Canis lupus familiaris: one gene and its partners. The protein of the gene in region 3 interacts with the protein of the main gene of each other region in a biochemical or structural test. Links are inferred from orthologs where the notes say so. Each region holds a gene or a part of one and is shown on either strand. Other genes may lie near its edges. The genes, in order: IPO8, EIF4G3, EIF4E, PML and EIF4EBP3.

The links.
Region 1: the proteins of EIF4E (region 3) and IPO8 form a complex in vitro, tested with the Homo sapiens proteins (2 studies listed by BioGRID and IntAct, with this or other methods). The link is inferred for Canis lupus familiaris from reciprocal best matches to the Homo sapiens genes EIF4E and IPO8.
Region 2: the proteins of EIF4E (region 3) and EIF4G3 form a complex in vitro, tested with the Homo sapiens proteins (3 studies listed by BioGRID and IntAct, with this or other methods). The link is inferred for Canis lupus familiaris from reciprocal best matches to the Homo sapiens genes EIF4E and EIF4G3.
Region 4: the proteins of EIF4E (region 3) and PML form a complex in vitro, tested with the Homo sapiens proteins (4 studies listed by BioGRID and IntAct). The link is inferred for Canis lupus familiaris from reciprocal best matches to the Homo sapiens genes EIF4E and PML.
Region 5: the proteins of EIF4E (region 3) and EIF4EBP3 form a complex in vitro, tested with the Homo sapiens proteins (2 studies listed by IntAct, with this or other methods). The link is inferred for Canis lupus familiaris from reciprocal best matches to the Homo sapiens genes EIF4E and EIF4EBP3.

Annotation. Positions count from the first base shown.
Region 1 is NC_049248.1:28,997,967-29,004,019, forward strand, and holds the start of IPO8 (importin-8), read right to left. Parts: upstream 3,889-6,053; 5' UTR 3,669-3,888; coding exon 3,585-3,668; intron 1-3,584. UniProt on the Homo sapiens protein: Involved in nuclear protein import, either by acting as autonomous nuclear transport receptor or as an adapter-like protein in association with the importin-beta subunit KPNB1.
Region 2 is NC_049223.1:77,219,657-77,225,650, reverse strand, and holds the start of EIF4G3 (eukaryotic translation initiation factor 4 gamma 3), read right to left. Parts: upstream 4,206-5,994; 5' UTR 4,191-4,205; coding exon 4,145-4,190; intron 4,058-4,144; exon of another isoform or gene 4,043-4,057; coding exon of another isoform or gene 4,023-4,042; intron 1,999-4,022; exon of another isoform or gene 1,949-1,998; intron 1-1,948. UniProt on the Homo sapiens protein: Component of the protein complex eIF4F, which is involved in the recognition of the mRNA cap, ATP-dependent unwinding of 5'-terminal secondary structure and recruitment of mRNA to the ribosome. Functional homolog of EIF4G1.
Region 3 is NC_049253.1:18,849,581-18,854,130, forward strand, and holds the end of EIF4E (eukaryotic translation initiation factor 4E), read left to right. Parts: intron 1-2,249; coding exon 2,250-2,364; 3' UTR 2,365-3,345; downstream 3,346-4,550. UniProt on the Homo sapiens protein: Acts in the cytoplasm to initiate and regulate protein synthesis and is required in the nucleus for export of a subset of mRNAs from the nucleus to the cytoplasm which promotes processes such as RNA capping, processing and splicing.
Region 4 is NC_049251.1:37,703,241-37,708,807, reverse strand, and holds part of PML (protein PML), read right to left. Parts: intron 3,170-5,567; coding exon 3,023-3,169; intron 2,645-3,022; coding exon 2,389-2,644; intron 2,277-2,388; coding exon 2,124-2,276; intron 1,335-2,123; coding exon 1,282-1,334; coding exon of another isoform or gene 1,207-1,281; intron 653-1,206; coding exon of another isoform or gene 641-652; exon of another isoform or gene 624-640; coding exon of another isoform or gene 27-623; exon of another isoform or gene 1-26.
Region 5 is NC_049223.1:34,867,428-34,873,263, reverse strand, and holds EIF4EBP3 (eukaryotic translation initiation factor 4E-binding protein 3), read right to left. Parts: upstream 2,719-5,836; 5' UTR 2,663-2,718; coding exon 2,560-2,662; intron 1,452-2,559; coding exon 1,281-1,451; intron 1,119-1,280; coding exon 1,090-1,118; 3' UTR 780-1,089; downstream 1-779. UniProt on the Homo sapiens protein: Repressor of translation initiation that regulates EIF4E activity by preventing its assembly into the eIF4F complex: the hypophosphorylated form competes with EIF4G1/EIF4G3 and strongly binds to EIF4E, leading to repression of translation.

The DNA of each region.
Region 1 (6,053 bases), on a different chromosome or scaffold from region 3:
GGTGGCTCAGCAGTTGAGCACTTGCCTTCACACCCAGGGCATGATCCTGGAGTCACAGGATCGAGTCCCACATGGGGCTCCCTGCATGGAGCCTGCTTCTCCCTCTGCCTGTGTCTCTGCCCACCCCCCTCAATCTCTCTCTCTCTCTCTCATGAATAAATAAATCTTTAAAAAATAATAATAATAGAGACAGATGTATGGAAGCAGGGGTTCCAAAGCTCGGCAAGAAAGTAATTCTTTTTATTTCCCTATTGAGGCCATGTGGAGAATGCTTTATTAAAAGAACGTACCTTTGTGGATGAGTTACTAGAGCAAGATATCTACCCATTCCTACTTCCCTTTGCTGCTCTGGGCCCAGAGACAAGGAAGATTGTGCACAGGATGCATTCTTAACATCCTAAGATAAAACTGAAAATATGTTGTCCCAGGACCCCTAAGTGGCTCAGTCAATTAAGCTTCCAACTCAGGTCGTGATCTTAGGGTCATGAGATTGATCCCCATGTCTGCTGAAGTTTCTCTCTCTCTCTGCCCCTCCACACGCTCACAAGCTCTCTTTCTCTCTAAAATAAATAATCTTTAAAAAGAAAAAAAGAAGAAGAAGAAGAAGAAGAAGAAAAAAATGAAAATATGTTTTCCCACAGAAACAATATCACACAGAGCAATCAAGGAACCAGTCACTGGTAACAAAAATATGTTGGTTACAGAAAAACATAGCTCCAAACAAGAATTTATCCTTCAGAACAGAGGCTGTTATGTTTTGAAACTGCCTACTCTCCTACATGGCAATTGACAAATCATCAGTACACTGCAGAAGCTGCTCCTACTTCTTACACAGAGCATATGTGCTGTGGGGGGACCTAGACTAAAATACATGAGCTGGACCCTAATCACTTATGGTAGATTACCCACCCATTTATCCAACAAAGCCGGATATTACAGCAATGATAAAAAATAAGCACACAAAACCCAACATTATAATCATATTTTACTACAAGGTTATGTTGCGGTATACTTGTCTTCTACTTACAGATAATTCAAAAAAAAATACTTAGAGCATATTACAATTAAAAGCATTATACAAAATATGAATGCTAAAAGAGTGGCATAGCAATAAGCTCCTTTTACAAGTTACAGAGGAAATTACAGCCCGGGATGAAACGGGTGGATATGGGACAGGGCAAGAGTTTGGATGAAATAGATGTGAACTGAAATACCACAAAGAAAGAAAATGTAGAATTGGGTCCCGAACGTCTCTTCTAGTTCTGCAGGCTTTCCCATCAACCCTTCCCCTTCTATACAGTCAACTGCACTTATACGCTGATGAATCAGAAACAAAGCAAGGACAGGCTAACGGAGGCAGGAAAGTATAACATGATATCAAAGATATGATCCCTCCTGACACTAGCAAAATAACATCTGGCCTCATTGTGAAGAGAAGGGGGTCACCAGCAGGCCAACTCCCCTGTTCATACTAATAGACTGCAACTTCAGCTCTTGCTTTGTTCCTTCTAACCAATCCCTGGGTTACTGTTCTTCTAGCCAATCGACATATAGTACCTCTGCTCTGCAAAGCCTGGAACAGGTACTCACTTTAACTTTCCCCTATTCTGAGCGAGAGTCCTTTTCTTTTTGAGGTAACAGCACATTCTCTTTATGCTTCAGTTTAACTCAACCTCTCCAGTGTTTTCACTCTCCCTTTTATCTCTTGGGAATCCTGAATTCACACTTACTCCAAACACCATCCAGATCTCCCACTGGATTTCAAAGATTTAAAATGCACAACTGCACTTTAAAGTCAACTCCAACCAGGGAAAACCTTAGTGAACTCTGGCAGAAACTTTTACTTGAGACAGCTGCTCTCACACTTGAGGAAGCACCCAATCACCTACCTAGCTAATTAAAACATAATCGGGGCCCACCCCCCAGAGTTTCTAATTCTCTAACCTGGAAGCCCAGCAATTTCCGTTTCCAGCAAGTTCCCAGGTGATGTTGATGCTGCTCATCCTAGGCAATACTTTGAAAACCACTCATTTAGGGTATATTCCTTTACATTTTAAGGAAAACCTCAACCAGCTGTCACTCTACCCTGGGGAGTAGACCTTAATTCATAACTTTTATTTTATTTTATTTTTTGTAAGATTTTATTTATGTATTCATGAGAGACACACAGAGAGAGGCAGAGACACAGGCAGAGGGAGAAGCAGGCTCTTCGAAGGGAGCCTGATGTGGGGCTCGGATCCTGGGACCGCAGGATCATGCCCTAGGCCCAAGGCAGATGCTCAACCGCTGAGCCACCCAGGCGTCCCCATACTTTTTTTAATGAGAGGTCTATCATTCATTTTATAGGTGAGGATGAAAATCATAAGCTAATTTGGGGGATCATTACACTCTCAAATTGTTGGTGGTAAGGCTGGAACAGGGTCAGGGCTAGTAAGAAGAGAGGACAGAAGATAAAAGAAAGTCTTGGGCAGTCCTGGTGGCCCAGTGGTTTAGGCGCCACGTTCAGCCCAGGGCGTGATCCTGGAGACCTGGGTTCGAGTCCCACATCAGGTTCCCTGCATGGAGCCTGCTTCTCCCTCTGTGTCTCTGCCTCTCTCCCTCTGTGTGTGTGTTTCTCATGAATAAATAAAATCTTTAAAATAAAATAAAAAAAAGTCTTACACATTTCAGCGCTTATAAAGAATCTCTTCCAGGGATGCCTGGGTGGCTCAGTGGTTGGGCCTCGGCCTTTGGCTCAGGTCGTGATCCTGGGGTGCTGGGGTCGAGTCCCTCATCTGGCTCTTTCTCACTCACACACACACAGCCTGTGTCTCTGCCTCTCTCTGTGTGTCTCTCATGAATAAATAAAATCTTAAAAAAAAAAGAGAGAGAGAGAGAAAGAAATCCCTCCAGATGCCTATTCCTAGATGTGCCTATTGTAAAATCGTAGCACCATGAAAACTGCCTCCTCTTCCCCCTGCACCGTCCCGGCGGCGCTTCCCGGCGCTCCAGCAAAACTCTGCCAATCAGTGTCCACCAACAGTCCTGCCAACCCCACGGGAGCAGGCGATGGGCAGGGTTTCCCACCGCAACACCTTAAATTAAAAAAAATTTTTTTAAATTAAAAAAAAAAAAAAAAAAAGGCTGGGTCTGGAGGAAAGCAGAACTCCGAATTGTGAGTGAGCGTTCCCGCCGTCCCCCAAATCGGCGTCCCTGGGGAAATCCCACCCTGCCTGCGCTCCTAGCAAAGCCGCCCGGAGCCCCTCGCCGCGGCCGGGCGAGCCGCGCCACCCGCGCTGTGCGGGAACGCGGGACCAAAAGATGCAAAGGTGGCCAACAGGTGCGCGAGGTGCTGGCCGAAGAAAGATCGCAGGAGCGGCGCCAAGCCGGCCCGGGCGGGGGCGGGGGCGGGGGCGGGCGGGGGCGGGTGGGGGCGGGGCGGGGCGCGGAGGGTGGGGGCGGGGTGCGGGCCGGGGGCGGGGCGGGCCGCGGCGGCCGCAGGGTCCGGGGCACCGGCCGGGTGGAGACCCGGGGCGCCGAGCCCGGAGCGCGCGCGGGGGCCGGGGGGGGGGGGGGGGGGGGGGGGGCGCCGGCCCGCGCCTCACCTGGTTGAGCTCATTCTCGGCGGCAATCCGCAGCTTCGGGTCGATGGTGCCCTTCAGCGCCTGGATGATCCGGTTGAGGTCCATCTCCCCGGGCGGGGGCTCCGCGGCCCCCGGACCAGTAGGCCAGACTGCAGCTTCAGTTTTCCTTTTGACCCTCGCAGCCTCCTCCTTCGCGCCCCCTGCACTACCTCACTCCCCGCCCCCCGCCACCGTCGCCACCTGCAGCCACTTGCTGCGCCACTCTGACTCCGCGCCCCCTGTCCTCCCTTTCTACCCCCCACAACTCGCTCTCCATTCACCCTTTTACGACAGCCGGTGGGAGGCGGGAGAAGCGAGAAGAGGAAGCGGCGCTTCCTTTACGGCGGGCCCTTCCCCGGGGCGGGGCGCCATGGCCGCTCCCGCTGGCGGCCCCCATGATGCTGTACGGAAAACAGCGCCGGCCTCTTCCCGGGAGAGAAACGGCGCTCCCGGGCTTGGGCAGGAGGCCACCATGCCGCCTTACGGAAAACAGCCTCCGCGGCTTCCCAGATGAGGAAACCAGCAGGCTCCAGGTCTCTTTACAGCTACTTCCTAATTAAGCATGTACAGATGGAGCGGCACTTTGTGAGTACGAACCTGTGCAAGGGCACACTTGTTGGGACCTAAAGATCACCTAGCCCACGCGAGGGAGGGCAGGATTCCCTTGGTCCCTGGGAGCCATCATTCATTCATTCATTCATTCATTCCCTGAACATTTGTCAAACATGTTTTGGAGCAGAGTATTGAGATATATGTAGGTACCACATCTCAACAAGATGGTCGAGATGGAGGTTTTTATGAAGGAACTTACAAGCTGATAGAAGAGACAAACGTACAAATGTTTACAGAGTAAGTGTGAAAATAAAGAGATCAGAGAAACCATGTGCCTGAAGTTTTCTGAAACAGGTCTGTACCTTCTAAGAAAAAGAGTGAAAGGCCAGGAGTATACAATTTCCACCCACTATGACAATAAATTCAATGGCACAGGGGTTGGCAACGGCTCCGTGTTCCCCCTTTAGTCCATTCTCCACGCTGACATCAGAGTGTTTAAGGGTTGACACTGTCATGTCCCTTCCTTGATGATTTCCCATCAATTTCAAGATAAAATAAAAACTCCTTAGCACTCCAGGGTCTTAGGAAACGTAGTACTTTCATCCCCACACTACTTCATTAACCTCCTTTCTTGGGCCTCGTGATAATCTAAAGCTCCTTGACTTCTGAAATATTAACCCCAATATCCTCTTTTCAAATTAAGACCTATTCCTCCATTCGCTCTCCCTCAATAATTCTACACCTGTTTTCCAACTCAATTACCTTTTTAGTTCTTAGTTTCCCCATTCCCGAAACACATCCTTCTCTGCTACTGAACCCCCAATTCAACTTGTCTACCCCTTGACCCACTGTACAAATTGACACCAGTACAAATGTGTGTTCTTTTCTCAGGATCAACAATCCCGTTCCTTCTTTAATCAGCACCATCTTCCGTTCTCCCAGCAACTGTCCCAACCCTCGAGACTCTTCTCAAACTCTTTACCTGTCTCCTAGAACCATGCAAAGATGAACAAAGTCATCAGGCTCAACTCACTCAAACAAATCTCTGCTTACCAGTCCTCACTTCCTTACATCCAATCTGAAACCAGTCCTCTCCTATCTCTTCTGGGACCTTGCTTAATCTCTTCTCTATGTATTTTTCATTAAAATAAATTTTGGGTACAATTCTATGCTCACAGTTGACTAGTTTGTAATACTTTTTCTTGTATTTTCAACCCCTTTCTCCCCACTGACTCAACCTCAGCCTAAAAACGTTTCCCCCAGTTAAAAAACAATCTTTCTCCAATAATGCTAATTATTCTTCCTTCTTTTTCACCTTTCATTCCAAAGAATGGTCTTCATTCCTTCTCTCCTTACTTCCTACTCATACTTCAATCAGCTATCCATAGTCTTCTGCCCTTGTTTCCCTCACTGAAACTGCCAAGCAAAAATCAACTCTGATCCTTTAGATACTAAATGCTAAAAATGTCTTTCTCTTGTATCTGGCACTGTATTACATGTTCTTTTTACAAAACGTTTCCTTATAAGGAATATATTCATAATATTTTGATGGCTCGCTTGATCGCCCAACTCTTAAACACTGGTGCTTCTCAGAACTCTTGTCTTTAGCCCTCCTCTTTCTCTTCTCTTAAACCCATTCTGCTTCTGTCATTTCATCCACTTATATAAGTTCAAACCATCAACTCAACAGAGACAACTCACAAAACTGCTTCTAACCAAGAGCTCTTTCCTTAAACTAAATGTATCCAAATGCCTACCATGTTTCTACCTGATATACCCAAATCCTTTAAGGCACATGTCTAAAACTGAAGTGTGGTAGCACTGAAGATGATTTAGAATAGGGAGATGCTTGATGCTGTTATTTCAATAACATAAAAAGAGAGAAAAGACTAAAAAAAA
Region 2 (5,994 bases), on a different chromosome or scaffold from region 3:
GGCAATTCAACAACAAACAAAACTGACAAAATTCTCTGCCTTTATGGACCTTACATTATATTGACTGAATTCAGTATCTCCTAAGAGGCAACACACATGGGCTTGAAAAAGGACAAAACTACCACTAGTTAATAAAGGTCATAAAAACTGACAAATTCCAAATGTACTTAAAATAGTTAAAATTGTCTCAAATTTCAGCTAAGGCTACAAGAGAGTGAAAAACTCCTCATTGGCAGCAAGCCAAAGAACTAGGAACCATTTGAGAATTCAGAAGTAGCCTGGGATCTCGCAATATTTCATTGATTTAATCTCAGCTGCAGTTTATACACTGCTAGAAGTCAGGCACCTGGCTAAAAAACCAGGAAAAGTTTCCTATTAGCTCAAATTATTACTCCTAAAGTAAAAATAGATTGTATCTCATCACAAGAGTTTATTCCAGAACTTACTTTCCCTCATCCTCATAATGAACTAACTGTATCATCAAACAGAGCAAGCCACCATCTGGCTGGCCATAGCAACCTTATTTTATGGTCTCAAGCCATGCCACGATCTTCACTACCCAAGTCATAGAGGCATTTCAGTCTGTTTGACTAAATCTAACATTAATAAGCCAAAACCCAGAAGCCTCTTATACAATCAAGTTGCCTTCCCCATGATCCATGTTAGTATGCTTCTAATGTCACTGAGCATCAGACAAAGAATACATTAATAAGTGTCTATAAGGGAATGCCTGGGTGGCTCAGCGGTTGAGTGTCTGTCTTCGGCTCAAGGCGTGATCCCAGAGTCCAGGGACTGAGTCCCACATCAGGCTCCCTGTAGGGAGCCTACTTCTCCCTCTGCCTCTCTCTGTCTCTCAAGAATAAATAAATAAAATCTTTAACAAAAGAAAGAAAAGAAAACTCCAATGTGGAAGAAAAAAAAAACATATCAGTCCTTCGGTGGTTTAACCTCAGTTTGACAGAAAAGACCTCACTTGAAGACCTAGAAGCCTAGGACAAGGAATAGCAGCAGCAGCAGTGATTCAGGTACCTGAGTAGCATTCTTCCTTCCTAATCTTCATCTTCCATCAGTCTCCCCATCTCCTTCCTAGAAGAGGATCTACCCTTAAGAACACACATTCATTTCTGTTGATGGTGGGGCATAGGAGTGGAGAGACTGCTGGCCGCTTCATGAGCTACAGAGTTCTAGCTGCTAGTTACAACAGTATTTTGCTAGAGGCCTTGCTAACTTCTGAACAAGCAGAAACATGCACTGAATCAAATGGTGCAGGCCTATTCTAATGCTTTAAGAGTCAATGAGGTAAAGATAACATACATGTCTTGCAATATGTGGCTGAGAACTAATTAAAACAAGATACAGTATCATAATATTCTAAATAACTCCACAGAGCCTCTGTACCGCATAAAGACCTTACCCTAACTACCTCCCACTCTCATATGCCAACTTGGTAAGAAATAAGTAACGAGGCAGGGACGCCTGGATGGCTCAGCAGTTGAGCCTCTGCCTTTGGCCTTTGGCTCAGGGCATGATCCCGGAGTCCCGGGATAGAGTCTCACATTGGGCTTCCTTTTTTTGTTTTTGTTTTTTTTTAATTTTATTTATTCATTCATAGACAGAAAGAGAGAGAGGCAGAGACACAGGCAGAGGGAGAGGCAAGCTCCATGCAGGGAGCCCGATGTGGAACTCGATCCCGGGTCTCCAGGATCATGCCCTGGGCCGAAGGCAGGCGTCAAACCGCTGAGCCACCCAGGGATCCCCATCACATAGGGCTTCCTGCATGGAGCCTGCTTCTCCCTCTCCCTGTGTCTCTGCCTCTCTCTCTCTCTGTCTCCCATGAAGAAATTAATAAAATCTTTAAAAACAAAGAAGTAACAAGGCATAGTAGAAAGGACATTCATGAGCTTTGGAGCCAATCATACCACGGTCTGAGCTGTGGACCACCACTTACTAGATGGACAACCTTGGGAACATTACTTCTCTACTCTTCAGTTTCCTCATCTGTAAAATATAAACAGTACCTACCTTATTAGGATTCTTGTGAAAACTAAGAAAAAAAAAACTAAATAAAATCATGCATGTATGGTACTAGAACAGTAGGCACTCAATAATGAATACTATTAACATTATGCAGATTTAGCTTTGGTCAAGAGGCAAAAAAGAGGGAAATAAATGTTATGGCTTCAACCTATAAAACTGAAAATCAACCTAGAAAACAAAAAAAAGAATTAAATACAAAAAAACCCTCAATTGGCATATTTGTTTTTAATATATCATATCCAAGACAAAATAGCTGAGGACACAGGTCATTTTCCTGTTGCCACAGGCCTTTACCAAATTTAGTTCCTTCAAAGAACCCACTGCCCTGATTTTAACCAAACTGGCTGCCCCAAAACAGTAACTAGACTCCCCAGAAGTGTCAGCAGCTCGGAGAGAAATTACACCCTGAAGTCTTGCCATATAAATAGAACACTGTGTATTCATAACAGACTGCAAAATTGCTCTAAGTCAGAACTATTTGGGCACCTAAATTCAAACTAATTTATCTTTAATTAATCTGAAAGGTAAGCAATTTCCATCTAAAGGGCTAGGCTTTTAACGGGGGCCCAAGAACCCTCTGAAAATGTAAGCAACGATTTTCTGTGGAGAGGGTCTAAAAGCTTTCATCAAAATGTCAAAGTTATTTGTTACCCAGAAAAGGTTAAGAATCACTTTTAAAATGCTCAGAGCTTCAGAAGCTCATACTGGGAAGCTGGGGAGAGCATATCTCAAGGCAAGTATCTTGAAGTGCCAATTTCATAAACTATTCATATTGGATTACGTTATAAAAACTCTAAGCATATTCCTCCCTCACAGTAGCACTTTTCACAGTAGGGTTTATCCTCTTTCATCCCCCACCATCCCTGCCACCCTCCATCATGTCCCATTCCTTGCCAGGCCCCATTCTCGGTCTCTTTGCAGTCAAAGGCCTCTACCTGAAACTGAAATGGCTTTATGGGCCCGCCATGCAATAATGATGCTTAGACATAGGTTCCGCTTTATATTTCAATTTATTATTGCCAACATTCTCCATTTCTAATTTGTCACTTGAACACAAAGTACAAACCAAAAACACTGTCAGGTGACTCTCCTTCCAATATTTTCATAAAGTTAAAAAGCTATATGAATTTATTAATTCAATTCAAACACAATTGTACCCATATATTTTGAGGAACCGGAGATTTAACCAAGCCATAGAAAAAAGCAACTCCAGTCTTGCACCTCAGTTTCAAAGCTTCATGTGTATCAACTAATCACATGATGACTACTTTCATCAAACAAATGCCAATTCCCACACTCCTTCTGGGTAGAAAAGCAGAAATTGCTCTGTTTCAATCCATCTTAACCTATTCCCCACTACCACTCGTAACATTTCATCATATTAGTATGTTCTAATGAAATCTGTAACCTATACCTTATTAACTACCAAACCTTTAGATTTCACTAATTGAAACCTCAGTGAGTGAAGCATTAAGATAACAGAATTGTGAAATACATTAAGAATTTTAATCTATTCTATGACATGAGACCATGTAAAATCTTAAAGCCACATAAAACCAACTATCCCACATTACTACAAATGGGTGTAAGTATCATTGCCACCGGAAATTACACCTTAAATGTATGCCCTTTAACAACTGTTGCAGTACTGGTAACTACTTCTGTGTTGCAACCAACTCAGAGCTTGTAGAAGTCCTTCCTTTGTGAAATGCATTGAGAAAAAGCACACGTGAACACTTAAATCACAGCTCTGCGTCCAAATAAAGCTCCAAGCACTTGGTGAAGCACTGGTCACTTACCACTTTGTACATCAAGCACAGATGCTATGGGCTTCCTTTCAATGCTTAATTGCCAAAATAGCTCCAAGATACAAGTAATGAAGAATTTACTTGGTGGCACAGTATATAAACTTACGGCCCTAACCAAGTATGGGCAATCAAGACCAAAAAAAAAAAGACTGAAATTAGAAAGGAACTCAAACTCACAAAGCATTAAGTGAAGACATGTTTAAGAGATCCAGCAGTGACCTCCACCTGTAAGTAGGCAAATCAGCCAACCCTTTTTTCCCCCCAAAGTAAAGCAACTAGGGATCTAGATCAACACTAACCAGCTTTTTCCATGAGCAACACTAAGGTATCATTAAGCATTCTCATCCGTGAAAAAGAATCATGCAGGATAAAAACATTATGAAATCAGTACACACATCACACTGGAATGGAATTTATCTTTACTCTGCACCACACTGCCTGGATTGAATAACAATATTTAAAGAACAGAGAAAATGACACTTGAAAGAAACCAAAAGGGTGACCTGAAATGACTCTAGAAGGGAGATACCTTTCCCTTCTCAAAGTAATCGATACAGACAGGAATCAAACTACAGACTGTGAAATCATCCGTGGACTTCACGGCAATTATTTGCTCCAACACCCTACTCTCTCTGGAAGTCAAACACAAAATGACACAAATACAAAAACACAACACATCTAACAGCCAATGGTTATTTATTGATTTACACAAATACAACGGATGGGGGAGGGAAAGGTGCATGACGAAACGTTATTCTCAGGTAGGTAATACTTTCTAAATCTCCGTGGAATTCATGAATTCAACGTTTTACCTTCACCGGCTAGTTTCTGACTAAAATACCTCGTGATCAAGTCTTTTCAATCAAAGCTGTCCAAAAATTCTACAATCGAGCAAATAACATGAAATTAGATACATTCAATACCAGACTGTCCTCCAGAAGCCCTGATCCCCTCTAGACATCAGGCCTAAGAAGAGGAAATTAAAGCCTTTGAAAATATCCGTAACAGAAGCCTTCCAAGAAGTGAGACTTTTGGGGGTGATGGGTAATGTCAGTTAACTTCCTCTTCCTTTAAAAAGGTCAAAGACAGGGAAGCGTCCGGTGTAACATTTCCTCCTCAGATCGCGTTCCACCACAAACCACATCACAACTCCCCCCCACCCCCCCGCATCGCTAAACAACATTAGCCAGAGAGAGGGGGGTGCTTTTCGTACATTTTCACGGTAGATTTAAAATCCGACTTACCTCAAAAACGAACTGAGCTTACTTTCAGACAGGAAATCTACCCATAAAGTTTATTATGTACTAATAATAACAATTAGGGAAGACCACCAGGCCCCGCTGCAGGGGGAGCAGGAGAGAGAGGAGCAGGAGGAGGGTGTAGTCCTCACAACAGAGAAAAGCCTTCCCTGCAGGGCTGGTCCCAGGCACCAGCAAATTCGGCCTAATAAAGGGGGGCGGGGGGAGGCCAGGAGGTGGGGGGAAGGGTCCCCCAGCTCTAAAAGGGAAGGGCTGCAGAGGCCAGGCCGAACCGAGCTAGTTTTCACAGTACTGCAGAGGGTCCCGGGGTCCCCCGCGGGGCTGCGGCCGCCGAGGCACCCCGAAAGCTCCGGCCGAGCCGGCTGCGGGGGCTCAGGCAGCAGCCCCTTCCCCGACTGGGCTGTGGCGGCCGGCAGGAGGGTCCCCGGGGAGCCGGCCCACCCCCCCCCCATCCCCCCACCCCCACTCCCGGGGCTGCGGCGAGAAGCCGAAAGGCCGGCAGGAAGGTGAAAAGGATACTGTTGGGGCGCCTGGGTCTGGAGGGCCCTGATGTTCGGGTGAGGAGGGGCCGCTGCCGCCGCCGCCGCCGCCGCTGCCGCCGCCGCTGCTGCTGCCGCCGGGTGAGGAGGCGGTACCGCTGCTGCCGCCGCCGCCGCCGCTCCGGTGCCGGGTCCGGTTCCTGCTGCAGCCGCTGAGCCTGATTTCAGAGCCGGTTTCTGCGGTAAACTCATGGCAAAGCGAAGCCACCAACCCCCCCAGAGCGGGACCGGGCGCGCCGGGGTGCAGGGGCCGGGGGCAGCGGGGGGGCGGGATGGGGGCAGACCCGGGGAGGCGGCGGGAGCGGGGGGCCGGGGGGAGGCTGGGAGGAGGAGGAGGAGGGGGCCGGGGCC
Region 3 (4,550 bases):
AATCGTAACATTAGTATTACAATACTCATAGGAATAGTAATTCAGGGAGTATTGGCAAATAGTATATATTCTGTATACGTGTGTGTAAAAATTTCAGTGACTGACATTTAAATGATAGTATTTTAGTTCTGTCCATATTTTAAATGTCTGTTCTGTGCACATGTGTGTAAAATTTTCAGGGACATTTAAGTGATAGTATTTTAGTTGTGTCCATATTTTAAAAACCTACATGTGTAAGTTTTTAAATTTGGGGCATGGTGAATAATTGCCTGGAATTTCCCTATCCCCCAAGCATTGATCAGTATTAACTGGGATCCTCTTTTTATTACTTTTAAATTAGTAATATTTGACTTTTAATTTTGTGTTAAAATTAAGTATTGGTCATAGGTCACAAAATATTTGGTTTGCCCTTCGTGATTGTTTTCAAACAATATGAATTCTCCTATGAACATAATTCCTTTCTAGATTAAAAGATAATGGAGATTTTCCAGGTTTTTTCTAAAAGAGAAGTTGAGGGCAGCCTGGATGGCTCAGCAGTTTAGTGCTGCCTTCAGCCCAGGGCCTGATCCTGGAGACCCGGGATTAAGTCCCACATCAGGCTCCCTGCATGGAGCCTGCTTCTCCCTCTGCCTGTGTCTCTGCCTCTCTCTCTCTCTCTCTTTCATGAATAAATAAATAAAATCTAAAAAAAAAAAAAAAAAAGTTGATTTGTCATCATATTCTTAACCTTTCAGCATCAAAACTTAATAGTTTTGATTATTAAAAAAACAATTTAAAAAATAAGTATGAAGTTCTTTCCTCTGAAAATATAGTATTTGTGTCAGTATTTAAAATTATTGAAATCTTTGTGAAATATTTGACTTCAGTTTTTTAATGGAGGTTATTTTGTTTTGTTTTGTTTTTGTTTTGTTTTGTTTTTGTTTTTTTTTTGACCCAAGTTACATGGCTGAGTGCTCTGGCTTTCTGGCATTTTTATGATTAAGTGTAATGGAAGGGAATACTTTGTATCCTCATATAAATCTGATAATGGTTATTTTAGTTAGAAAGTTATTTTTAGAAACTTTATTTGTAGGAAGGTAGTAGAATCTTCTGGAAGGTATGAGTATGAATAAAACTATCCTAGTATCATATTGGAGAATTTAGCTCCAATATGTATAAATGTATGTCTTTTATTTTATTTGGGTGCTTATTTTTGAAGGTTTGCTGTCTTTTCTTTAGAATAAGTGTCCAAATCCCTAACTTTACCTGTGATGCTCTCTGTGATCTAGCCTCAGTTTTATTTAACCTTTTTAACTCATAGTCCCTTTCTTTATGAGCTGTAGCCACACAGCCTTATTTAGTTCCCCAGCCTTCAGATGTGCTTCATTCTCTCAGCATTTTACTTTTAACCTCATGACTTTTAAAGGGGAGATTTCTCTAATTTCACAGACAAGATTAGATCATCCTTGTTATACAATATCACAGCCCCTGTACTTACCCACGTTGGCACTCGTCATAGTTTGTTCTTAAAATAGTCACATGTTATTTGAAAATTAGGTTGCAGAGTTAGTATAGAAGGCAGAAATGATGTATGTTTTAAATTACTCTGGAAATATCATAAAGTAATAAGTGTGGTAAATGTGATTTGCAGTAATATATTTATTATGGTTTATATATAAAATATAATTGTAGCATTTTATTTCATTTTATTTTTTAAAAAAGATTTTATTTATTTACTCATGAGAGACACAGAGAGGCAGGGACACAAGCAGAGGGAGAAACAGGCTCCATTCAGGGAGCCCAACGTGGGACTCGATCCCAGGTCTCCAGGATCACGCCCTGGATTGAAGGCCGTGCTAAACCGCTGAGCCACCTGGGCTGCCCTAATTGTAGCATTTTAGATGAAAGAATTAAAGTAGACCTATATAGGCAATAAATTTTGTATAAATGAGTTATGCATGTGATGCAGCTCCACTGTATTTATTATTTGTTTGTGAATAATCAAATACTATAAATACCCAGGGACTGTCCATGCTTTGCTTATTGATTTATTAGTAATTACGTAGTACCTGATAACATAGTGGAGTCTCAAATATTGGTTAAGTGTTTAACCAAGATTGTGAAAATGAGTCAGATTTGCTAAAAGGAAAAAGGTGTGCAATTTCCTATTTCACACTCTGTTTTTTTTTTTTATGTAAAGAACAAGAATACCAAATTTGGTGTATATGAATAAAAATTAATGACTACCTTTTTTCTTTTTCTTCTTCTAGGAGGGTATACAAGGAAAGGTTAGGACTTCCTCCAAAGATAGTGATTGGTTATCAGTCCCATGCAGACACAGCTACAAAGAGCGGCTCCACTACTAAAAATAGGTTTGTTGTTTAAGAAGACACCTTCTGAGTATTCTCATAGGAGACTGCGTCAAGCAATCGAGATTTGGGAGCTGAACCAAAGCCTCTTCAAAAGCAGAGTGGACTGCATTTAAATTTGATTTCCATCTAAATGTTGCTAAGATATAAGAGAAGTCTCATTCACCTTTGTCTTGTACTTCTGTGTTCATATTTTTTTTTTTTTTTTGGCTAGAGTGTCCACTATCCCAATCAAAGAATTAACAGTACACATCATCCCCAGAATCCATAAATGTGTTCCTGGCCCACTCTGTAATAGCTTAGTAGAATTACCATATAAACACATTTTGCCCATCCACAATATTCAAAAAAGAACTTCCATTTCTATACCTTACAGGAAAAAAATTCTGTTTATGTTCCATTGTATGCAGGAGCATATTTTGCTGGTTTGAAAGAGTATGATGCATACAGTTTTCTAGCAATTTTCTTTGTTTCTTTTTACAGCATTGTCTTTGCTGTACTCTTGCTGATGGCTGCTAGATTTTAATTTATTTGTTTCCCTACTTGATAACATTAGTGATTCTGATTTCAGTTTTTCATTTGTTTTGCTTTTGTTTTTTTCCTCATGTAACATTGGTGAAGGATCCAGGAATATGACACAAAGGTGGAATAAACATTAATTTTGTGCATTCTTTGGTAATTTTTTTTGTTTTTTTGTAACTGCAAAGCTTTGGTACAAATTTATGCATTTCATTCAAATCAGTGATCTATGTTTGTGTGATTTCCTAAACATAATTGTGGATTATAAAAAAAAATGTAACATCATAATTACATTCCTAATTAGAATTAGTATGTCTGTTTTTGTATCTTTATGCTGTATTTTAACACTTTGTATTACTTAGGTTATTTTGCTTTGGTTAAAAAAATGGCTCAAGTAGAAAAGCGGTCCCATTCATATTAAGACAGTGTACAAAACTGTAAATAAAATGTGTACAGTGAATTGTCTTTTAGACAACTAGATTTGTCCTTTTATTTCTCCATCTCTATAGAAGGAATTTGTACTTCTTATTGCCAGGCAGTCTCTATTGTGTCTTCTTGTAGTGTCTTCACCTGAACAGCATAAGTTTGGAGCACTAGTTTGATTATTATGTTTATTACAATTTTTAATAAATTGAATAGGTAGCATCATATATATGGAATTAAATTGATTTGGCTATCTTTGTTATTTATACAAGAAGGCATAGTCCTTCAGTCTTAGGTAAATAATGTACTCTTAATGTGTTAAAATTCAAGAGAATTGTTATCTTGGTGCATTACCATTTGATTGGTAGGAATGGTAGTTATAAAATTTGGTTGCTTAACTGGATGTTGTTTTCTAAGTGTCAATGATAGCATAGGGAAAGAGAACAGGTGGTTGGAGCTTATACATTTTGTTAGTATTGCTGTCTAAATAGAATGGAATAAATAGGTATGAAGACATATTTATATTGGTAAATTGGTGTAGTATGGTTTTATGTAAATTTTAAAACTTGATCTCTTTTTAGGCATTTGAAAGCACATGTGAAAAACTTTGTATATAATAGATAATTGTGTATTTCAGATGCAGTAAAATGAAATATGGCTATTATAGACAAAAGGGTAAGCTCAACTTAGAGAATGAAAATCAATTTAGATAAGAGGAAAATTTGTCTTTAAATGATGATTATGAATTAACTTAAAAACTGTTGTTTGACAAAAATCTTATATAAGTAAATATGAAATTAATAGTATTGATTTCATTGAAGAACTTTAAAACAGTTTAAAGGGTACCATAGGCTACCATCTAAGTATTCTCAATACCACAAACACCTCTTGTTCAGTATTCTAAAAATACTGAATTGTTTGTGTTTATAATCTCAATAGAATATATCTAATATCTGCTGCTTAAGCTTGAGTGATTGGTTAAGGTTATTTATTGTCTGTGTTGATATGTGTACTTGTGAGCACTTCAGGAGCCTGCTTATAAGTGATGGTGGTTGTGGTGTGTTGGCAATGGGTGGGATTGGAGTAGTATATCTATTAGAAATTAATGCTCTTTCCTAATTCTAAGATGCAGTCCATTTTAAGAAGCATCAGCTTTCAGGAGTGGAGGAGGAATAATGAATTAAATGTACACATTATTCTAAATTTTTTAAAAACCTGGTTTATATGCATTTGATTATCCTTATTATTACCATTTCAGAA
Region 4 (5,567 bases), on a different chromosome or scaffold from region 3:
GTCAATCCCTGGGGGAGATTCCCGCCCTAAGAGTCTGGGGCGCTCTGTCCCCCTTCATTCCCACTGTTGAGAGAGGTGTCAAGCTGAGCAGCCACAGCGGAGAAAGGAAGGGCAAAAAAGTTGTTGAGCCACTGGGCTATGTTGGGGGAGCCCCGGAGGGAGCAGCCGAGGGAGCGCACTGCTCCGCGTGCCCGGCGTCGGTGGCCCATGGCCCTCTGGAAGAAGCAGGGACCCTCCCGGGCACCGACAGGATGGCCGGGAGGCCCTGTGGCTGCAGGGGTGGTGGCCTGGACTGCAGGGGCAGGGTAAGTCCACATGGGTTTACAGTACACTTTGAGGGGCAGGCGGAAGATACGCCCAAGACGGGTGGTTCTCTGCACTCTACGGGACAGGGGGCCGGTCCCGCGGCGGGGGCGGACGGCAGCCTCCTCCTGGTGGCGGGCAGGCTGGCTGGGAGAGTCGGCCTCAGAGACTGCGGCGGGGTGGTGGGAAGACCGAGCCGGGGGGCGGCATGCGCCATGGGGCAGGCGGGAGGCCCAGCAGAGGCGGAAGGCTCCTTGTGCTCTTGGCAGGGGGTGGGCAGGCGAGGCATGTGGTGTCGCGGTCTCCGTGGACTCCGTGCACTTTCCAACACAGAACCTCAGACTGAGAGCTGGAAGGGACCTCAGAGGCCACCCAGTCCAACCTTTCACTCTGTTCGGATCCCCTTTTCCCCAGCCTCCGTTAACCAACCTCCAGGGACAGAAGGGTGGCAGCCCACAGCGGTGCTCGCTCCACCGTGGGGTGGTTTTAAAGTCCTCTCTTACGGAGTGAAAACTGGCCTAATTGGGCCCTGTGCACTGCTGCCCACACCCTCGCGCCCCTGCGCTGACCCTCGCTGGCTGCGGTTAGCTGGGGTATGGGTTCTCATCCACCCTCCTTGCTGAGGACTTAGAGGTTAGAGAACACATAAGGAAGCTCCAGGCGTAAGGAAGCTCCAGACAAAGGCATTGGCTAGTCCAGCAAAGAGACAGGGCGCTGGAAGGAAGCGTTCTATCAGCATTTCGGAGGAGTACATATGGTTACTGAAGGCTCCTGCCCTGGTACGGGGGGACGGCTGGGGTGGTCCGGGCCCGCAGCTGGCATTTGGAGGCTGTCCTCAGGACAGCGGGGAACTCACTGCCTCGCTGGAGAACTCCCCAGGCGCAGGGCAAGTCTGAGAGTCACCTGCTGTGGCTGTGTCCCCTGGGACCTGGAGTGGGGGGAGGCAGGAGTCCGGGGCCGAACTTCTGGACCACTCACCGAGTTTTCAGCGTCTGAGTCTTCCGAGCTGCTGATCACCACGACGCGTTCCTCTGAAACAAGGCAGGGGGGACAGCATTAGGCCCTCCCGGGACGCCCGCTGGGTGGGGCCCCAGGTATACACTCCGTGGGAATCCCTGAAGGGCCAGTGGATGGGGCAGACGACGTGTGCCCTGCAGCGGGGGGAGATGGGAATATTCCCCGGGCATGCCTGCTGGTCTGGGTCTGTTTATTCAGCTTGGTTCCTGACACCCCTCTTTACGAGGGACCTTCCATCAGGGTCTGCTTATTCAAAACGGCTTTCTGTCACTGCCTACTGTGCCCTGTGCGTGAATACTCGATTTAGCTATTGGCCTTGAAATCGGAATTTGCTCCCCGATACAGGCAACTTGGCAAGCAGCACCTGCTTTGGAACTTTTGCAATCCTAGAGAAAGAAGCACGTTGGTTTGCTCCAACCCTCAGCCTCATGAGCTGAGATGTTTGGCTTAGAAGATACTTTATTTGGTTAATCAAAACCTTTTGATTACCAATAGCATTGTGAGCAAGGAATGTCGGTCAGGGCTCAGTGTGCAAGCAGGATCAGGGCTCAGTCTGGGATCTAGAATGAAAACAAAGGGGGCCTCTGGGTGAAGCAGATCTAGAAAGAACTGTCTCGACCATTCCAGAATTCTATTAGTTGACCTCAGCTCATGCCCCAGGACTCCCTGTCTGGCAGCGTCCCTAAGAGAGATTGAAGGACAAATGAGGCACACTTGAGGCAGGTGACCTTTGCAGACAAATTTGGGAAGTGAGAGGTGTGGACTTTCCCCGAGGTCTCTCTGGGCACGTGCTAGGTACCCACCAACAGATGCACCCTTGTGTGTGTCGGGGGAAGGAGCTACGGAACCACGGGCTTCCTCGCACTGGAATCCCAGTACATCACGCAGTAACTTGTATCCATCCTCACTCCCTCCTCTGGCAAACCGTGGGTGTCCCCTCTCCCCTCTGGTGGCAGCTGAGGGCACAACAAAAGGGGGACGATGTTGCCTTTGGCCTCCCTGGGTCCCACCCAGGCCTTGGAGGACAGCACGCTGGCTTTGGCCTCTGCCGCCTGCCCGCCTCCCTACCTGCCTCCCCAGGGTCGCCGGTTGAGTGGTTGCTGTTGGGCAGAAAGACCTCGTTTCCCATGATGGGACTTTCGGGGCTGGAGGGCCCATCCAGGGGTGGCGAGACCGCCTTGGAGGTGCTGGGCCTGGGCTGCTCCGGGGAGCTCTGGGCCAACCGAGTCTCCCGCTCCTCCTCAGACTCCATCTTGATGGCCTTCCTGGGGCACTCAGTTTGGCAGGACTTCCTCTTCTGGGGAGTGACTTTGTTGCAGACCTCCTACACGGCAGGGAGTCAGAGGCCAGGTTAGCAGCCTTCGGGGGTGCCGGGGCGGTGGGCAGAGATGCAGACCTGGGTGGCAGGGGCCTGTGGGCCTCCCTCACCCCGGTCCCCCCGCTCTCGCCGTGCAGATCGTGTCTCTCTCCACACAGGGTGCCCCCTGAGCCATCACACGCACTGGCTGTGCGCTGACCACCGCCTTTGCAGGCCTCTGCCCGCCCCGGAGCGGCTCGTGCTTATGGGGGGCTTTGCAGCATGGCCCCCAGGAGCAAGGGAGAGAACAGAGTCGGTGCTGACAAAGGCCTGCATTCTCACCCCAATCGGCCCCGCCTGCCGGGTGGGACCTGGGCCTTGGGTGGGGTGCGGAGGGAAGCTCACCTCTCTGCAGGACGGGTCTCTGATGGAGTAGGCGTGTACCGGCACCGGGTGGACCCCGGGCACCGACTGTACCAAAGCCCCAGTGTGGGTCTCCGTCAGCTGCGGGGCCTGCGCCGGACTCTCCAGCATCTCCTCCGGCGGTGGGGTCTAGAAACAGATGGAAATGAGAACCCCGGCCTGGGGGCGGCCCAGGGACCAGGAATTCCTCCTCGCACCCTCCAGGACCTCACCTTCTCGGGCCCATGAGGTGCTGGCTCTCGCCCAGAGCCAGCCAGTGACTTCTGGTATCGCACGGACCAGAAGGCCTGACAGCTTGCTCAACAGCTAGCTCTAGAAACAAAGCTCTCACTCCCCACGGAAGCCAATCCTCTCCAGGTGCGGAGTTCCAACAGCGAGGACACCCTCCCTGGGAGCTTCGCCGTGACCCTCACTCTGCCCCCGGGCCTTGATCCCACGCGGCCAGAGAAGCCAGTACACACCCGGGACACATCACTTAAAACTACTCCGGCCTCAGTTCCCCTGTGCAGAACGGGAATACCGGTACCAGCGGTCTCAGGGGACGCTGTGGATGAAGCGTGCTTAGAAGAGCACCTGGCACTTCCTAAGTGCCACCACCGATAACGGTCAGTACTGTTTTGGTCGCACCAGGTGAAGTGTGTCCTACATCTAAGTCAAAAGGAAGCAGGCAGGGGCAGTTCCTCCAAAAGCTAACCACAGAATTTCCAAATGAGCCAACAATTCTGCTCCCAGGCACAGGCCCAACGGACTGGAAACATGTTCAAACAGAAACCTGCACACGAATATTCACAGCGGCCAAAAGGTCCATCAGGTGCTGAGTAGATACACAAAATGCGGCGCAGCCATTGGTCGGGACATTATTTGGCCACAAGAAGGAAGGTGCAGCCTGGATGAACCTTGCACGCTGCGCTAAATGAAATGAAGGCAGCCAGAGAAGAACGCACGTTGTACGGCACCCCCCAGGCGAACAGGGCCACGTCTCCTTTCGGGGCAATGGCCCAGCTGGGTGGGGTGGCTGTACAAGACTGAGGGTGCTAGAGGTCACCCAACTGTACTCTCTAAGATGGTTCAGATGGCGACTTCCCTCTATGAATTTTCCCACAATAGAAAAAAAAAGATTACCGTTAAAAGAAAGAAACAGGGACCATCCCGTGGTTATTGCCAACCTAAGAGAAGGGTCAGAGGGACAAGGGGTGAAGCTATCTGATTCCCCAAGGTCCTGGACCAAGGCAGGGTTTGAATCTAGTGTTTCTGAAATGCAAGTTCCTTTATTTATTATTTATTTATTTATTTATTTATTTATTTATTTATTTATTTGACAGAGAGGGGGTGGGGAGAGAGCCTAAGAAGGGACAGTGGCAGAGAGAAGGAGAGGGAGAAGCAGGCTCCTCACTGAGCAGGGAGCCAGCTGTGGGGCTCCATCCCAGGACCCTGGGATCATGACCTGAGCTGAAGGCGGACACTCAACCGACTGAGCCACCCAGGTGTCCCCAAGTTCCCTTTTCTTTAGTCACTGTCTCTCCTTTCTATCCCTCCACACCACCTTTCTCTACTGTGAAGCATCCGCTGGACAGTTTGCTGAAAATAAGTGACAAGTGATGTGGGAAGTGTCCCTCGGAGAGGGGAGGCCCAGACTCTGGCGTTCGGCTCCAGGAACCCTGGCCTGCTATTCCTGCCTCCAATCCTGCCCCGTTGGTGCTCCAGCTCCGTGTGTGCCCAGGAGATGACCATGAGCAGAGCCCTGCGGTGAGCTGTGTAGTGAAGGAAAGGGAACCCCTCACAGCTGGACGGGGTGCGTCCTCGAGCAGAGCTACTCTGGAGAAGCCAGACCCTGGACTGTGAGATTAGGAGGAGGCCGGGGATATGCCTTCCTCCCAGGGACAAGCTCTCTCCCTCCTGTGTGGTAGAGGAGGGGTCAGGACCACACTCACAGGGGGAACCCCGGGAACTGCCTGGCCAAACCCGTGCTGGGGGCAGGAAGGGGAAACCCAGCACGGGATGGAGCCACGTGCTGCACCGGAACCCCCAGCCGGGGCTCTCCTTGGTCTCAAGCACTCTGATGTGGGATGTGGGCTCCCGTATCATTTGCTATAATGGACTGATTTCTTTTGCCCCCTCTTCCTTCCTGGATTTCTTTTTCTCAGCATCTTTACAGAAAGGAAGGAGAGCGGTCCCTCTGGATCAGAGCAGAGTGTGTATCTGGGGGAAGGGGAGAGAACAGACGATCTCCTGGGCCTCTAGGAACGCATACAATCTCCGCAGAGTGCTCTACACCAGTATTTTTCAAACTGTAGTCTGTGACCCACTGGCGGACCATGGAAGCAATCCAGTAGGTCAGGACTAGCATTTTTAAACGTTATGCACAATAGTACAGAACAGAAAGCATTAGAGCACATCCCATGTAACAAGTGTAATTTACTGTGCAAAACTATCATTTTAGTCACAGTTTGGCATGTCCATGTGCATATACTGTAGACTAGATATAAAATATATTTCTCAGGGGGTAGTGGTCAAAAATTGAAACCAC
Region 5 (5,836 bases), on a different chromosome or scaffold from region 3:
ATATTCCTTGCTGGGCTGAGTATCTCTATTTTTGTATAACTTCGTTGCAGCATAAGAACAGAGGCTCAAATAGAGAAGATTTTTCCCTCAAGAAAAGAAGACTGCTCTGTTTGTACTCTGGTTACCCTTGAGACATACAGTGCTATAGAGATTAGAACATAGCTGTATAAATGAAGAAGACTGGATTGCTGAAACATGGGATCATGACTTTTTGGAGGCGTGCTTGGGGGTAGTTAGGTGGGTAGGATCATGACTGATTCACCAAGTAAGCTGCTAACTCATTCTGGGCCCTGAAGTCTTCTAACCCTCTTGAGGACAGGAGAGCCAAATGGAAGGGGTCATAGAGGCTTAAATTATGCTGAGAAGGGAGGATACAGGTTTTCAGTGTTGGAACAGGGGACGATACTTATGGGTGGAAGGCAGAAAAAGCATGGGAGGGACTGGAGAAGGTTAAACTCTAGGGCAGTGCCTCCTTTTCCTGATTTGGAATCAATAGGGAGGGACTGCTGGAGAGGCCCAATTCCAGGAAGGTTGCTTCCTGGAAAGGCTAGAACGGCCCTTGGCAAGGGTCAGGCTATTGCTATTGCTGTTTATGGCTTGGCAGCTCTTGTAGCCTGCCCCCATAACCTGCCTTTGGCTCTCACTGCTGCTGAAAGTGGACCTAATGACAGCTGGGAATGGACTGGGGGACCTCTGATCCTCACCAGGTCTGCTGGGGCCCTCAGCTTTGTGGCTGAGATGGGAAGGTCAGTATCAAGGAGAACACCAGAGTCAAAGCATTTCTTTGAATTTTTACTAAGCAGTTAGACAGTGACATACTCCATCCCTTAGTCCCAGCCTCAGCCCCTGATGATGGAGGGCTGGGCGTTGGGAGGAGCATCTACAGACGGAAGGGAAAGAGCTAAGGGCTTGGCAAGTTGCCCACTCGTATCCCTGGTCTAGTTGCCTCAGAACTAAGGGAGGCCCGACACCAAGTCACTCCCTTCCAGATTATGAGGCCACCTGGTGTTTGGAATACACCAGGAAGAGGTGATGGCAGCAGTGGTATGAGGGATTCCTCTAATTCCACACAGGATCATCTGCACTGGATTAGATGTCCATTTCAAATTGTGCGTCATCTGGAGAAAAAGAAGACAGGGACTGTTTGATGGGCTGAGGGTCTGCAAGCTCAGCAAATTTAGCATCAGTACAGAAACCCCTCTCACTGTTAAACCCTCACTCTACTGAACAGGGGCATTTGGACTCCAGTATTTCTTAATTTTAGGCCCTGCTTTCCTTACCGGGTATCTCTTCCTCTGTCTCCTGCTCCTTCAGCTCCTCCAGCTTGGAGGGTGGGGCTGTTGGAGGAGTTGTGACCCCGGGAATCTGAGGGAGGCAGCACGGCGGCGTCCGGGCAATGGGTGAATTTTTGCACTCCAGCAGGAACTTTCGGTCGTAGATGATCCTGGTGCCTGTCAAGGGGTAGGAACTAGGTAAGAGGCTGGAGCTTGGGTACAGAGCTTATAGGGTGTCATACCCAGGCTTTTAAGGGACCTGGAACTCACATTTCCCCATGTATTAAAGGGCTACTGCTCTGCAGACCGGCCAGGGTCTCAGCTGACTGGCCTTCAGAGCACTTAAAAGACTTCCAGGTCTAACCAAGATGTGGCTAAGTGCCATAAAGCAAGTAGGGCATCCCAGCTGGTCCAGGTATTTTGGTTTAGGGAAGCTTCAGGTCTCAGTTCTAAGGAGGAGCACAAAACTTGGGAGAACTCAGGTACTAAAGACTGCTCCTGTCTGGCTCTGCTGGATCTGGGGCTTCCCAATTCTGTAGGGTGGGGGGTCGTTAGCCCTTCAGGCAGTTGGCTCAAGAGGCCAAATAGCAGATTTCACCCTTGCTGCCATCTGGGTTTGGGTACCCGGCAAGGAGAAGGTGTGCTCTCTGGACAGCTGCTTTCTCGGTGAAACAGGGACAGACTGTTCTTACTTACCCTGACCCCTCCCAAGTCCTATCAGGCTAAGCCCAAGCCTAAGAAACTTGGCCCCGGTTCTGTTCTCAAAGGGCCCTACCCTGTTCTTGCCCCTCCCTTCTGCCTCCACGTGGCAGGAAACCTGGGTCCAAGAGCCCAGCAGCTCAAGATCCCAGGCAATCAGCCCAACCAAACAGCTGCCAGCCACCTGCAGATACTCAAGGCTTTTTGGCCCCAACTGCCTGAGTCCTGCTTTAGCCGCTTTGGGAGACCTGGTGCTTCCTGCTGAGGTCAAGCTCAGCTCGGGCTCTGGGTCCTAATGCCAGGCGGCAAAGTCGGGAGGGGCACCTAAAACCCAGGCCACAGTGGGGAGTTCAGTCCACAGTCACCCAGGAGCTAGGCTTTAGGCCACGGTGCATTTACTTCGAAGTTTCAGGGGACTGAACCGGCCTTCAGTTCCAAACACCCTCCCACCCCCTGCAAAAGCTACAGCCTGTAAAGGGGCCTGCGGCGAGGATCCCAGGCCTGCACCTCCCCTCTCCCAGCCCGCCACAGGACGCCCGCGCTGGGCCTGCCCAGGGCCCGCGGACCCCCAGCCCGGCCTGCTGACCTCCCGGGGTAGTGGCGTATAGCGTGCCCCCCGGCGTGGTGCTGTAGCAGTCGGGCAGCCGGTCCCTGCCTCCGGGGATCGGGCAGCTCGTGGATGTGGACATAGCGAGCAGGACGGCAGTCGGCAGGGGCGCCAGCCCAGGGCGCCCAGTGCAGCTAACTCAGAAGCAGACTCAGTGGACCACGTGCGCCGCAGCAACACCGGGATGACGTCACGCCCGGGGCGGGCCGCTAGCCGTCACTCAACCCGACGGTCCCGCCCCACTCCAGGCCGCCTGACTAGGGGAAGCTTGAAAGGAGTTCGGACCTCCGCACAGGCCTGCATCCTCCTGGCTCAACACTGGCCGCCTGACTCAGGGCTGTAGCCATTCAGCTATTTACTGGTTAAACCGGGTGCCAGGACCGGTAAGGCACAGCACACACTACTGCCCTGTGTTAATTCACCCATTTCTCTCAACAGTTTTGTACAGTAAAGCACTATTATTAGCCACATTTGACAGGTGAGGAAAGGAAAGCCCAGATTAAGTCCCTGGTTGAGAGTTCTATCTTATAGGAGGGGGAGCTGGGAGTCAGACCTGAGAGTATCTGATGCCAGGACCTGTGCCCTTCCTTACAGCTGGGGACTGCCTCCCATTAATCAATTACAGTACAGGGTAAAAAGTGGCCCTATGGCCTGGTGCACAGCAGGAAGGGGAAGGTCAGAGAGGGATGGTAGCCTTTTTAGCAGAAGTGATATAGCTAACTAACTTTAAGAAACTAAGGAAAGGCAGGGGGCTGGTGAGAAGGGCTTGGTCTTTAGCTCTCTGGAAAGGAAGATCAGAGAGTCTGGCCTTAGAGGATTTTTTTGATGTAGTCACAGTGATATGAAAGGAGGCAGGAGAAGGGTGGTGGAGAAGAAAGTACTAAACCTAGTACCTACACATACTAAACACCTTGATTTGGTCAAGGGGTCTTCATTTCCTTAAAATCAGTATTACGATTCACCCCCCAATTAAGTACAGACCACTGGATTTCATGCATTTAACAATATTAATGTTACTTCAGTTCTGGCTTCATCATATTTTCCCTTAGCTTTGATTTCTCCACTCACTAAAAAAAAAAAAAAAAAAGTGTTTTACTACTCAATGCTTCTCAAACTTTAATGTGCATAAAAATCACCTTGGATATGTTGTAAATGAAGATTTTGATATAGTAAGTTTGGGGTAGGACCTGAGCTTCTAGGTCCCAGGTGATACAGTCCCTCAGCTCTGTAGGTCCTTAGAGTAACACTTCAGGTAACAAGGATATTTATATTTTATTGTTCCAAAATATTTTTGAACATCTTACAAAGTTATGTATGCCTAAAAGAAGGGTCTTGATTGACACTGCTGGAGGGTAAGGTTTGGGAGCAGACTGTGAGGAGCTGTCTATCACAACTCAGTTTTTTTAAAAAATATTTATTTATTTATTTATGATAGACATAGAGAGAGAGAGAGAGAGAGAGAGAGGCAGAGGAGGAGGGAGAAGCAGGCTTCATGCCGGGAGCCCGACGCGGGACTCGATCCCGGGACTCCAGGATCGTGCCCTGGGCCAAAGGCAGGCGCCAAACCACTGAGCCACCCAGGGATCCCCCACAACTCAGTTTTTGAGGTAAGTCTTGTGGGGGTAGTGAGGAATAGGATAGAGGACCATGAGACTGAAGGTGAGGATTCTAGCCTAGTGAAACGGGGTAGACAGAAGGGCAGTGGTTATGAGGATGGAGAGAAGTTGTCAGGATCCCCATACACAGAGGGGGAAAGATAAGGTGACTGATTAAGGGTGAGGTGAGAGAGAAGGAGTTAAGCTAGGATAATTTCCAGTCTTCTGACTTAAAAGTCTTGGTGGTAGCAGCAGCCCCTAATAAAGTGGGGAAAATAAGAGAAGCCTATCTTAAAAAAAAAAAAAAAAAAAAAGAGAGAGAGAGAGAGAAGCCTGTCTTATATTGGGAAATATATAACGTGTGGAATGCTGAGATGGAACAGCATGGCAAGGAGTTAGATCTATGGGTCTGAAGCTCAGGGGGAGAAATCTAGGCTAGTGACTGAGATCTGGGTGGAGTGAAATCCAAGAGTGTGGGATGAGATCACTGGGATAGAAGATACAGCCTAAGAAGAGGCCTGAGCACATCAACATTTATTTAAGGGGTAGTGGAGGAAGAGGATTCACCAAAGGAGGCTGAGAAGTGTCCAGAGTTTTCAAGAAGGATCAGTGTGGAAGTGAGGTCACTCTTATGTTCATCTCTACTACACAATGACAGCAGCAGTTACCACTACTATGTACGGCTACTAGAAGCTTGTTTTGAGGTGCTGTGTGTGCTCTAAAGGCTAGGGAACAAGAGATAGATCATTGGCCTTAGAGAGAAAGCCAGATACATCATGCATGCAATTTGGATGAAGGACCAAGAGTTTAGAGGCTCAACACTGATTACCCATTAGAATATGTGAGCTTGATACAGACAAGCACAAGAAAAAGAAAAACAGAAAAATAGAAAAACAAAAAACAAAAAATCTATGCCTAGGCTCCAACCCCAGGGAACTGATTAAGCCCTTAAGGGAATATCAGGTCTCTGCTACCAAACTACTTTGGACTTAGACCAATACCATGAAGATAAAGCAGGAGATAAAAGTAATCAAAACAGGTTTGGCAGTCTGGTGTTGAGACTGCTGATCCTATTTTCCAAATTAGGACTTAGAGCCCAGTCTTCTGCTCTTTATTGGATGTGGTCTTAATGCACATAAATTCTGGATACTTAAAACTATCTTTCTCTCATTCACTTGCTACAGAATAAAGTAAAGGTGAAGAATGTCTGATGACAAATGGTGACAAATCTTTAAAGATGAATAGAAAATATGGGGTTTTCAGAGCCCCTCATTCCAGGACAGGGTCCACTGGAAAGACGTCACAACCAGCAACACTTCTTGGTAGAAGAGATCTAGGGCTAGTTAGAGAACAAGATGTTCAGAAGCTGTTTTCCTACAGGCTTATTTGCTACTTCCTGGGTTTTCAATGTGGTCCAAAGGTCTTGAACAGTGGGACAGAATCAAGTTTACTAACTACTCCTTTTTGTTTGGCTTGAAACTATAATATGACCAGCCTTTCCCCTTCTACAAGCCACCTCAAACTGAGGATGGTTCCCTTATGGGCTAACTTTGAAGATGGGAAGAGGATTTGGCCAGAAGCTACAGGAAGAGTTGAAAATTGTAGTTCCAAGTCTTGAGATTTCTTACCTCTGGTTAGGAGAGGCCACCATTGGCTGTCCA